Linked DNA regions of Neodiprion lecontei. The protein of the gene in region 2 purifies or fractionates together with the protein of the main gene of each other region. This does not show direct contact. Links are inferred from orthologs where the notes say so. Each region holds a gene or a part of one and is shown on either strand. Other genes may lie near its edges. The genes, in order: protein PAT1 homolog 1 and U6 snRNA-associated Sm-like protein LSm1.

Region 1 (7,192 bases), on a different chromosome or scaffold from region 2:
ATTATACAAAATATCTATGAATATATATTATATACATATAAACTTAATGTATGTATATTACGGTTACTTAATTGTTTAAAGACGTTATCATTGTTTCGATTATTATTTTTGTTATGATTACAATGATATAGCAATATATGACTTCGTTCATAGAAAAAGACAAGACAACCTAATAATCATAATGAAACTAAATAAATGAATATATAAGTAAATAAATAAATGAATAAATAAACAAATAATCATAACCGTTTAACCTCACAGTACAGGGGTAAAAGCGTAGAAAAGTTCTAAAAGAGCTCATATACGTACACGTATAATTCACGATATAAGACATATTTTCTAACTAATAAAAATCAACCTGCCCGCGACGCTGCAAAGCTATTAACCTCTAACTCACGCTCCACGTCGTAAATCACTGCACGCGAGACTGTAAAACTTGATTGATACTCATTGATTGAAGCAGCGGAAGACTCTAACGTAAACAAGAAAAAAAGAGTTGTAGAAAAACTTGAACGTATAAGTTTAAAATACTGCTTTAAAATTTCAAATATACGATCCCCACTCTGGACATATACTGCATGAGAGATAAACGAATTATTAAAAAAATTAATTTCAATTGCAAAGCACATACAACGTTGTTACTATCAACGGATTCTGGTCAATCGCAAACTAATAACTATGATATCTACGTAAATAATTATCTATGAACTAATTTAGATATACCATATTATTACTCGGCAAATTAGCGAGTTTTTCGGGGAACAAAACGACGGGCGTATTTCCTCTTGAATTAAGTATACATATAGGTATATAATATAATGCCGAAACGATATATTAAACTAATGAAATAATACCAAATACCCGTAAATGTTGACGATATAGTGATATTACGTATTTAATCGGTATACGAAACGAGGCAAATTAGATATAATTTATCGTTGAATATTATAGGTAGGAGGAGTCGAAATACTTATGACGAATAATTTTCGACCTAGGTAAAACTCTGTAACTTCCAAATTAGGGTTGGAATGAAAATAGCTTATTGGGTTCTTGGTAAAATTGAATTGATTACCATCGTTATGAGTTTGACAAAAAAAAGAACCACTTCCGGCATAAAGAGGACAAAATTACTTTGAAGTAACACCTTTCGCCAGTGTCCAGGCGCGGGACAAGAATTCCAAATTCTCTGATTATATTAAGCATCGTGCCAACATTATTCGCCTGATAATTAAACAATTTTTCTGAAAATCTCGAATAATTTTTCATTGAAAGACAAATTAACTTATCATAAATTAAAATTATTTTATAAAATTAATTATGTTTTAACGGATAGTTCGAAGAGAAAAGTCATATGCGGAGTCATACCTAAACTATCGTATGAATTCAAAACCAAAAAGAGAGAGGAAAAACAAACAACCGGTATACACAAATAAACAGCCTTTCCCAATTATGGCCGGACAATTGTTCTCGTAGAATCCTTTATTTCATCGCAGAAGTAAGAATTGACTCCTCGGTTGTGTTTCCGCATACTCTTCGTATCGTCAATGTTCTCACAATCAGATATTGTTCAGATTGTAAATTCTTCTTTTCTATGGTTTGCCAAAAACATTTTTTTGTACTTTTATACAAGAAGTTGATTTGAAATATCGGGAAGGCTGATTTGAAGCTCAGATTTCGGATTGTTCAATTATATGAATAAAACAAATAAGTATAAACTGTCTGTATCTATAAATATAGGTATGTGATTTATTATCACGGCAATGTATGCACAATCAGTCAAGAATACAATGAATCACACTCGCACGTATATAGTCTGTATGATGTATGTACAAGCACAATACCATGTTGACTAAAGAAAAGTTTAAATGAAATGTTGATAGTACTTTTAAAACAAAAGTATAAAAATTATATCACGTATAACATTCGCAACGTTACTCTAAGCACACCGTAATAAAATAAATTGACGAGTTTTATCGTTGTTCTTGTTTTAGACCGAACAAGTGTAGATAAATTATACCTCGATTAAGAGATAATAAAAGTGATTATTATAATGATGATAATAAAGGAGGATATCGTTTTGAAAAGTTAAAGCATATTTCTTACGAACCATCGCCAATGGTATTTGATATTTTTCATTTCCTGTATTGTGGCAATTCCGTTATCCTACAAATCGATGGTGACAATTTCAGGAAAAGCTAGGATGAAAAAAGATTTAAATCACTGACTTAAACGACGTTGATTCGGATATTTCAACTGTCATCACCGGGTAAAGCTCATATCATTACGGTCGGAGGCCGTAGTAACAGATGAGTTTTTCCCAAGTTTAGTCTTCGGCATTTTTCGGTGATAAACAAGTCAAGCAAACGTGAATTGAAACAAACACAGGTGAAAAGAATCCTGTACATTGGAAGAAAATTTCAAATTTTCAAAAATTTCGCTATAGTATATTTTTTCGTCTTCGTGGAACACTCTGCGAATTGACATAGCTAAACGTGAACCCGCCAGAACACTTGAATACTTTGGGATCCGTTCGGACTTGACTTCCGGTTTCATACCTATTACAGCGCTTATGCGTGGTGGAAATCGGAACTATCGGAGAGGGCAATAGATAGACGTAATATGTATAATTTTGAGGTAGCACTCGATATTCCTTCTTATTAGCGTACTTTGGGCCATGAACAAATGATTTGATTATCGTATTTCAAATTTCGTACCATTCTCTGATTAACGTGGCAAATAATCAATGGCATCTATGAAATGAGAGGTTGAAACACTGGTTGAAAACGCGGCTTCAGGGACAGTGAATTTGACCCATCGCGATGTGTTGCGTTCTCTGACGGGGAATACCGAAAGCCTGTCGGGAAGTCCGTGGTTAGTCGTGACCGCCATGACAGCTGATGTCTTTTCCAGCGCTTGACGTTTAGTCGGATCATGACATTTTGCGAATTTAATTTTGACAAATGGCAGACTCTTTTTTCGGATTTGACACATCTCTCGCTGTAAGTTGTATTTGGCTATATTATTTCTCGTTAAATTTGTTCGGAATTTTCCTTCGATTGGAAAGGTATCGCCGATGGGAAACCCTTGATTTTTTCGCGTTTCGACCGCGTCGCGGTACAGCATGGATCGAAAATTTGTTATTTTTATAGCATATCGCGCGGCTAATGCCTTTTATGATATTTCACGTCGACGTTTCACAATCTCTCATCCTTCTTACGCTCGCATGTACGGAAATTACGCTAAACATTAACCCTGCACCAGCCGAGATGCAAACAACGTTTTCACGGATGTGAACTCTGATACGGCCACGAATGTACTATACATAACCTAAGTCTTTCATTATCCCCGCCCCGGAAAGGTCAATAACATTGAATGTCGCTAACCGTGAAAATTTCATCAAATCTCGCAAGATTTTTCTGAGAATTTCAGCGGCTTCCAAGCTCAACCGTCAGCCATAACTCATAGGTTATGTTTCTATAATTTCGCACGTACAACAGTTTCAAAATTAATTTGTCAACTCAGTAAGGTGTCTCTGTTTGCACTTCAATGCTCTGATCTCTTTTTCTCATTCAATATTTATTTGTTGAAACCCAGAGTTCCAATTCGTCAAAATACCAAGTAATATGATCTCGGGTTATTTGCAAAATATAACATCCGATATTACTGGCACGTTCAATCTATTGCATGTGTTCTCTACTGGATTGATGAATGTTTGTCATTTGTTGTATGATTCCTCAAATTTAACAGGGTGATGGCCTAGAAGATGGATTTGATGGACCATTGGAAGATGAAGATATTATTGGTGAAGAAGATGAATATGATGCATTGAACGATGAAACATTCGGAGCGGAAGCAACAGGTGGAGATTGGGAGCAAGATCATGAGAAATTGGCCCGAATCACCGAGTCCTGTAGACAGCAGCCGCCCAGCTTACCTTTGCACCGGGTTTGTAACTGCTTGTCTTGGGCAAGATTCCGCAAAATTTAAGATTTTTTACAAGCAGTCTACTTTTCAAGTTTAATGATTGATTTTAATCTTGTATGATACACAGATTTGTTATTTTGCCCCGATTTGGAATACAAAAATTCAGATTGTTTTATTATATATTGCATTTACTGGATAGTTCAATTATTAAAATCAAGATTGATGCAATTTAAAGCACAATATTTTATTCTTTCATTTTTAGAATGGCATTGAAATAGATATCGAAGATAGCTTGTCACACTTGGTACTAGATGATAGAGATGGGACAACGCCACGACCAGGTGTTTGGGACAGCCCAACGAGCTTTCCTATGCCCAGAATTCAACAGCGTCCTTCGATTTCATCTACCCTTAAAAATGTCTGCACTGTTGAGGAATTGGAGCGAGGTCTCATCGCTAGTAGACCGCCTCCAGGTCTTGCTAAACCTCTACCTCCTCAACTGCATCTACAACAGCACCATCAACAACAACAACAACAGCAGCAGCAGCAGCAGCAACAGCAGCAGCACCATCATCAACAGCAACAGCAACAACAATTACACTATCAGCAACAGCAACAACAACAACAGCAGCAGCAGCAGCAACAACAACAACAACATTCATCAGGTGGACCATTCTTGTTCGATTCCGTACCATTGGGTGAACTTCAAATGAAAGGCCTACCACCTCCTCGTTTTCCCCCAGGATTAGGCCTTCCAGGTCCTCGTGTCATCTTACCTCCTCAAGTGAGACCACCACCACCTCAGTTTATGCAGCACCACAGACTGCTTCCTAGTGAGTAGAACCATCTATATATTTTCAAGCATTTTCATTATCATGTTGGTAAAAAAATTTTGTATGTGAAACTTGACTGCTCCAAATCGTGTCTCAATGTTTTTTTCAGATCAACAAGGTAATATGCTAAGGTACCCTATGCCTCCTCATTTGATGATGCCACCAGGAGCTCAAAGGCAGCCTCCACCACCTTCATTTCGTAATAATTATCCTGTAAGTTATTCATAACATGAAAGAATACAGGTTTGCTACAAATCTGTAAAACTTGGAAAAGTCAAAAAGTTTTGAGTTCAGTAAGGTTTTGTTCTTGATATTGAATCTGAAAATAATATATAAATATTGGAATATTATTCATGTCAAAATTTGTAGCGATCCTAAAGTAACGAAAAATTTCTCATAAAGATTAGTTCGTGAGTAGTTGAGAGGAGTGAAAGCAAAGAGAAGGAGTAATGTAACACCTGAAATTGAAGTGGTATTTGTTTTACTTTTAGCAACCACCTTATCCAGGACTCCCTCCACCTCAATTACTGCGTCCTGAACAAACGATGATGCCGCCATTTGCTAACAATCAAATGAACCATCATCAACAGCACTCTCCCCATTCAGGAAATCAGCGAACAGTTCAGAATAATCGACCGTTCCATTCCAATGACCAGCCATCTGGTCATCAACCACCTACTCACCAGCCATTTTTCAAAAACAATCAATACCCTCATCATAATCACAACCGAAATAATCAACGGTATCATCAACAGCACCACTATCAAGGTATGAATGGATCGAGTGGTCCAATGGGTGACTACGATGAGTACGCCGGCCTTATGAGTAATCGTGAGAAACAATGGCTGATCAACATCCAGCTGTTGCAACTGAACACCAACCAGCCATATGTCGAAGATTATTATTACACTGTATTTTGCGACAGGCAAAACAAACTAAACGAAAATCAGGAACACAAGGACAGAAGGCATCATAACAACAATGGCCACCATAGAGATTCCAGGTAGATATACTCGATATTTTTTCGACATGCAAACCAAACAAAGCTCATAAATTCGATAATAATATTTTATTCTCTAAATGTCAATAATTTGTATATCACAACAGGGATAGAGATCAGCAACAACATATACTGACAAAGGTAGTTTACACGCCCATGCAGTTTGAAAATTCGCTTGGTAAGCTTCAATGTGGTAGTGTGACTGCTCCTCGCAAGATAATTGACATGGACGTGGTTCCAAACAACGATCCTCAGCAAGCACCACATTCACAACAGAAAGACTCGAAAAAAACACGTCAACTTCTACTAGAGATCGAAAGAGTAAGTTTGAAATGTTTACAATTATTCAACATCATGTTTCAACTAGTTATTCTCTTTGTTCTTTTTTTTCCAGTTGTACACGTTGCAGTTAAAGCTCGAAGATCTGACTAATCCTTTAGCTCTATTAGCAGCAGCTGAACAGCAACACCAACAACAGCAGGAAGGAGAAGGAGAAAAGAAACCAATCAAAGAGTCCAAAGTTGAACTGATTGGCAAACTAATAACTTCGTTTCTGCAAATATTGCGAAATGATAAATTAGCCGCTTTGCTCAGCATTCGCAAAGGAAAGGTCAGTATTTACATGAAGGGTCTAGTTTAACACTGTAGAGTAACAAACGTCATACATCGATTGACAAAATGGTCCTTTATGTGATCGGAAAATCAATTGCAGATGTTGTTACTTCGACTGCTGCCACACATGAGCGTAACTGAATACAGCTCTCAGCTAGGCGATCTGTGGACTGGATTGGTTCGCGGATTGGTAGTTATAGGACGCAGGGATTCTCATTTACTGACAAACTTTTATCCTGAATTTCGAAGGTGGTTACATACCATAACTGATTTCGGCTCTGTTTTACGCCTAGCGAAGGCATTGGTTGAGTCAGCATCTCTACCACTAAAAAACAACAGCCTAGCATTTGCTTTAACAAACAAGGTTTGTACCATTTTTGACTCGCAATTTCTCGTCTGATCGTTACATATTTACAGTGGTTTTAACTTAATTTGGTTTATTGTCACTGCAGTTTGGAGTATCGGTTATAGCCTCGGTGTTAGAACAAGCTGAAACATTATCTCCAGTTGAGGATACGATGGCTGGCGATTGGTCAACTTTTGTTATGACACTAGTAGAGACGATCGGAGTCACGCCTCCCAGCGTTGCACCATGTGAACCGATTGCGGCTAATACTCTTAATCAACATTTAAACAGGATTCAATCATTGAAAATTGAAAGGTATGCACCATTGGAACTACTGTTGACCGATGCAAACCCTTCACGATAGTCTCAATTTTAAAATATGTAATTTGAGAATTTTTTTTCTCGTTCTTATTCTTTTTTTTCGCGACTTTCCGTACTACTTTCTAAAACTAAAATGGGAAATGTTGAAGGGTCAGT
Region 2 (6,182 bases):
TCTTCCAGGACGTTGGGTACAAGCGGTTTCAAGGATGCCGTATAATCGCGTTGGGGAAATTCCGAGGTCAAGGGCGTTGTCGGGGTCGTCGTGGACGGTCGGCCAGGAGTCTGAGTGGACTTGGCACCCACTTTGTCCCAACGAGGATAATTGCTGTTTTGAAAGCTGAAGTGGGATTCCATGGTCCGCGTATGTCCAAAGCCGAAACGTGACGTTGTCGACTCGAAGCGTTGTTCTCTCGAGTTCATCGTGAGCTGATCTTCGCCTGACCGAACTCGAGGAGATGCTGGCTTGCTCTTTATCTGTTCGTCGAAGTAGGTACCGAATCGAGCTTGTATGGGCAGATTGGAGAACGTCTGCCGGTGGTCGCTCTGCCAGTTCTCGCTGACGTTGGACGTCTGGTAACCGAAGGGAAATTTATTATAAACTCCGAATTTTTCCCCTGAAAAACTTTCCCTGCTTGAAACTTGCTGTGTTCTCCGATCGTCCGCCCAGCTTGGAACCGTGTTCGAATTGTTAGACCGCTCGGGTGAATTTACTGTACCAAAATGGAACCGTCCAGCGTTGACCTCCTTACGGACCGTTGAGTTCTTCTCGGATGAAAAACCGCGGAAGAGATTGCCCGTCATCCATCGACTAGGTTGCGTCGTAGTCGAGGTGAATTCTGACGAGGTTGAAGGTTCGTGGGCCATTTTGCCGAGCCGAGCTCCCGCCTGGCAGTCAACGAGGTACGCGTGATCGCAGATCAGAGCCTCTTGCCGGAAGGCGGTCATCTCGGGACAGAGATAAGAAAACTTGTTGCCCTGGTCATCGCAGTTGTAGTAAATCCTGCAGTTCGACGGTACGTCGGCGTAGTAACCAGTCGGGCGGCCGGCGCAGGTGAAGTTGGTATTAATTGGCTGCGCCGTCGTATTCTGCGGGCATTAAGATAAAGCAGACAATTTTCACATCCAAGTCCGTACTCACAATCGTACCGCATACTGTCAGAGGTCATTGCGGCAATTACGCTGCCTCATTACCTCCACGCATGAATAAGAAGCGGAGGCAGTCTCGAGTTGCGCAATTCTACATGCCTACGTAGCCACAAAAAGCTAAAAGTCACTGTATTTCATTTTGAAGGTCCTCTGCTTTGTCTACGCGACTACGGGCAGCCTCGAATGCAGCAGTCGCACTCAAGATGCAAAAATCGGTATGCAAGTCCGTGTTCTCTCCGGACAACAAAGTTGAAAATCGACCAACGTTTAGAGAAAAAAAGTCCATAAATAATATCGACCAAAAGTCTTACTCGTTCGAAGTAACCGGTGATAATTGGCTGCTGGATTTATTACAGTTTGAAGGAATTTATACCTATGTAATCATAAGTCATAATTACTTTAACTTGACGGACGTACTTAAGATCGGTACAATAAAAATATGCGTAAAACCAATCGTGCGTTTTTAAAATAACTTCAAACAGCGAGTTTAATAACTGTTGATGTTTATAAAACGACACAGTAAACTTTGGATAACTTTAATTTAGAAAAAAATTAACAGGAGTAAGATAGTAACTCACGAAAAATTTTTGGAGCTCTGCAGCGGTCAGGGTGATTACGACAAACAGAGTAAAAACGTCTCCCGCCATGTTGTGGAAAAGCTTGAATCGGCCGCGAGCGATTCGATTCAGAGCCGAGTATCCACTTGGACCGTAATACCGGCGAACGTACGGCCAGGCAATCTCGATGGTAACTACCAATTACATTGTCTATGGATCGTAGGATCATCCGCTGGAAGGCCTTTGCCTGGCTTGCCGAGATGCGCCGGGAGTGAAAGTAAGAGCGATATACATATACAACATATCGTAGGATGAAGGAGTCAACGCCGGGCACCACCTACTTTACTTTTGTCAGGATTTCACACTTGTCTCGCGCCTTCGGATCCGGGGACCAAAACGTTTTTATGCAACAGACGAAAGGGCGTTACAGCGGAGCAGTTTTACAATTAATCTTGAAATCAGCGCAGTTACGGCGCGCTTCCGAATCAAGTACAGCAGAAAAAAATTCTATAAGATATAGATTTATTTCACCTTTCCGGTACAACGCAAGGTCGGCATGCCCAAGTTTACGTCCCGTGACACTGGTACCTGTACATTCCAATGTGTCTATACCCGTGATTTTGTGATTCGTTATTTTCTATCATCCTATTGCACTATTACGATATCGAGAGAATTCTGTATTAGGACGGGAGTAACACTATATTTTCAAGGCATGATGGATCGGACACGGAAATACGAAACAAAATTTACGCATCGAGTTACGTAAAAGCTTACATGTGTACGTATGTTTATCCTTGACATTATAAAATACTTGAGCATGATTGGCAATCAGTAAAAGTCACTGTATCTGTAAGATTCCTTGAGTCATTCTAGCATTGTGTTTGTTTTGAGCTCTATAATGTAACAACGCAGGCCACTGCACGCAGGCAGATGTATATTTGCGTCATACGTTCGCAGATTACGCATTGTTTATAGAAAAGCAAAATATTTGGGAATAAAATCGCATATACAATTCAATCGCAGGCTACCGAAAAGGGAGGGATACGTCAATTTTTTTCCCAAATATATTGGGGCTGAGTTCGCGTAATTGCGATGTATTCTGCATTTTCTTATATACATTTTTGGTTCAATCACTCTGACGCATCGTTCCTCAAGGTCATGGCCAAGTAGTTAATTACTCCTGGAGCAATATTAAAAAAGAAATAATCGATACAAAATTGAAATGTCAAGAATGCCTAGCCTCTTGTCACTAAAGGACACTTGGTCGAATTACCATACAACTAAAACAATGTGTATATCTTCTCAAATCAAGTAGGTACCTTGATCCCAATCAAATTAATCACACTCGATATATTCTAAATGAAATCGGTCCTGGAAAAAGTGATATTTACAAATGTCTTTGAATAATTACTTGAACGCGAATTCTAAAGTTAGGATAGTACAGTAAATCCTCAATTATCCAAACCATGACTTGATTTATGCTTAATTATCCGGACGTTGACTAAAAAAATATATTTTTAGCGTGAAATATACAACGTTGGTCGCTAAAAAATGTGTAGCAGCCGTTCTTTAATTGACAATGGACGACTATGTAAAACCAAAGTAATAAAATAAGCGTTTGGTGTTTGAAAAAGGTTCTATACGTACTTAGATGTTTAATGCAGACTGCTTGACGATTGAAATCAATTATACGAACTAGGCTCATTGTCAGTCCTAATTAATTCGGATAATCGAGGTTCTACTGTGGCTGTCGAACAAAGTACTATTTTTAGGCATTTTTTGGCATTTTTTGGCGAGCCATTGGTACAGGTACCAAAACTTACCAAAGTATAGTTTACGTGACACACAATATCGTTCCGGTACACCTTGGTTCTTATACCAGTGGATCGGCAAAAAATGCCTTTTATTGCGGATTTGAAACTGATCAATGTTGCTATCGTTCTGCAATAATCCGTCCTCTTCCTACGTGGATGATGTCAATATTTTCCGACCTTCCTAAGGTATATATTAATCCGATAGATGTAATTTGTTACTTTTGGTTTTAATTTAATCGCTTCAGGGGGTTTCCCACTTTAGCTGCTCACAGCGTTCCACACGTCATACAGGGCGTGTTCGGAAATTGACTGAAAGTTCTGTCAGTACTGAAAACGGTTTAGTCCAAGTGACGTATACTGTAGATTTTCATTACTGACAGTACGGTCAGTCAATTACCGAACACGCCCACAGTTGGTGGAAATCGGAAATCATCGTTGAGCATTTTCGAATTTTTCGTAATTTGAAGATTGTCGAAGTTTGTCAGTAGAGACATCTCTGTTAGAGAGGAACAGACGGAAATGTCTGTCGCCCCAGTGAGTTCGTCATTGCCCTGAGTTTTGCCTAACGTTATGTACATACGGTACATACCTACGTGTGTGAAGGCCGGCGTTGTTACTTGTGGGGTACAACGCATCAGCGAATCGGTAGCTGAGTAACCAGTCTTTGATTTAATTAATATAAAATCTCTGAAAAATGAACGTAGTGCCCGGAACAGCGTCCCTCCTCGAAGAACTAGACAGTACGTTTGATGTAATTAGTTGGAAACCGTTAGTTCTAGCGATTTATCGAAATTTAGGTTATGTTTACACTTAACCATAAATGTAAATATTTTGATTAACAATTACACCAGTAACACCAGATAAATTAATCACGCCCGAACCGTTCGTTTAGAAAAGCTAATGGTTCTGTTAAGAGATGGTAGAACACTTATCGGATATCTCAGAAGTGTTGATCAATTTGCCAACCTGGTCCTTCATCGAACTATCGAAAGAATTCACGTCGGCAAAGAATATGGAGATATTCCTCGGGGCGTTTTCATCGTCCGAGGCGAGAATGTTGTTCTCTTGGGTGAAATAGTAAGCACTCAATTTTTTTATGCTCAGCAAATCAATATTTTTAGTCTTCCAGCTCTGTACGCTGGCGCAAAAGTCCTGCACTATAAACTTACTGAATTTCACCTCAGGATGGGGACAAGGAAAAGGATCTGCCACTATCTCAGGTGCCCGTAGATGATATATTAGATGCTCAAAGACGAGAGCAAGAATTGAAGCAAGATCAAGAACAACTGATGAGCAAAGCTCTGAAAGAACGAGGCCTCTCCTACATTCCGGATTTGGGGCATGATGACATGTTCTGACCCACATCTATTCCTACAACAAGTTCATTTTCGTCATCCTCGTCATCACATAAGTCTGACTGAATGTTCAGAGAGTTGTTCAATTCTGTGAAAGCAAAGGGAAATAGGTGAAAGAAAAACAACAGACAATTGTTATACATAAGGCGTGCGCTATAATATGAAAATATATTATTGATACACAGATCTGCCGGTACGAATGAATCTCGAAAAATCTGTTATTCTACCTCTTTTTTTTTATACAAATAGTTATAATGAACTGTCACGAATTTCGTTCTTGGCTCATTCAGAATGAAGAATATTTTTAAATATTTAAACCCACAACATTCATCATCGTCATTTACAACTAATATGATAAAAACTTAGCATATGATTGAAGTCTAGTACAAATATCACGTAGCAAACTATTTGCTATACATTATACAAAAATTTCGCACAGAATTCGTATTCGATATCAAACTAATACGATTTAATTGTTTATAGACAGCTCAAAATTACGTAAATAATAATAAAAACTGCTTAATAATTTAAACAAATGAAAAAAACACATTAGGTAAAACTGTAACAGTGTTCAACGCAATTTTTACTACACAATGAAGTGTCGTAAAAGTAGGTTTGAACATTAGATTCAATGTATATACTATAATTCCACTTTAAAAAGAAGTCTCTTGTAATGTTTCCTTCGCTTTTAGTGGTTTCAGTGTAGATTCACTCAATTGTTTGTTCCATAGAGTTTGAAATTTCAATTCATTTGTAACCTTTTTGTCAGTGACAGATTTTTTAGAATCGTCACGCTGGAGATTCGTTCCCCTTTTTCTTGGTGATTGGTTAATAACCTCATCAATTTTCTCTGGAGAGTTACTGACACTGTTGGTACTACCAGAAACTATGCCAGATGTATCGGAACTAGGTTGATTTCCATCTAAGCAATGCAGAAGACTATCGGATAGTCTATCTTCGTTAAGAATATTTAAATCTGACTCAGATTGGTCAAAATCGTCAGTACGAGACGTGAAACTTAAGTCAACAGGACTCGCAGTTAGTACGCTTCGTGATAATAGATATTCTCGAAATGTACTTGATATGGAAACGCTACTTGCCTCAATTATTTCGTTACAATATTCGTCTTCTATTGAGGTCACAAAATTTCTATCCTCATTTAAATTTCCGAAGTTTTCTTTGGTCTCTGTATTACCTTGATTGTCAGTTAGTACCAACTCACCACTCATACTGTCTATCTTTTGACACTCTTCCAAAATGGATGTACAACTTTTTTTCTGTGTAAGATCCAAGTTTGGTCTTTGAATGTTCGAACCAGAACTGCATGGTGTGCATCCGTTATTTAATGTTGCAAGATTGCATAAGTTTGACCCAGAGATCATCATCACTGGTTTTCTTGAGCGTGGAGTCATCATAGTTTCCTGTCAGAAGTTTCAATTAATTTCGATAAAATTTTCATGACTTCTTCATTTTTACGTTTTG

Evidence for each region.
Region 1: the proteins of U6 snRNA-associated Sm-like protein LSm1 (region 2) and protein PAT1 homolog 1 purify together in Homo sapiens (co-immunoprecipitation; 3 studies listed by BioGRID and IntAct, with this or other methods). This does not show direct contact. The link is inferred for Neodiprion lecontei from reciprocal best matches to the Homo sapiens genes LSM1 and PATL1.

Annotation. Positions count from the first base shown.
Region 1 is NC_060263.1:35,074,565-35,081,756, forward strand, and holds the start of protein PAT1 homolog 1, read left to right. Parts: upstream 1-2,845; 5' UTR 2,846-2,960; coding exon 2,961-2,999; intron 3,000-3,747; coding exon 3,748-3,945; intron 3,946-4,186; coding exon 4,187-4,757; intron 4,758-4,866; coding exon 4,867-4,970; intron 4,971-5,248; coding exon 5,249-5,760; intron 5,761-5,864; coding exon 5,865-6,078; exon of another isoform or gene 6,079-6,079; intron 6,080-6,151; coding exon 6,152-6,367; intron 6,368-6,469; coding exon 6,470-6,733; intron 6,734-6,821; coding exon 6,822-7,079; 3' UTR 7,080-7,192. UniProt on the Homo sapiens protein: RNA-binding protein involved in deadenylation-dependent decapping of mRNAs, leading to the degradation of mRNAs. Acts as a scaffold protein that connects deadenylation and decapping machinery.
Region 2 is NC_060265.1:26,283,454-26,289,635, forward strand, and holds U6 snRNA-associated Sm-like protein LSm1, read left to right. Parts: upstream 1-3,642; 5' UTR 3,643-4,039; coding exon 4,040-4,085; intron 4,086-4,237; coding exon 4,238-4,422; intron 4,423-4,529; coding exon 4,530-4,703; 3' UTR 4,704-4,886; downstream 4,887-6,182. Other genes in the region: uncharacterized protein LOC107218892, read right to left, coding at 1-914, 1,553-1,621; uncharacterized protein LOC107219128, read right to left, coding at 5,354-6,121. UniProt on the Homo sapiens protein: Plays a role in the degradation of histone mRNAs, the only eukaryotic mRNAs that are not polyadenylated. Probably also part of an LSm subunits-containing complex involved in the general process of mRNA degradation.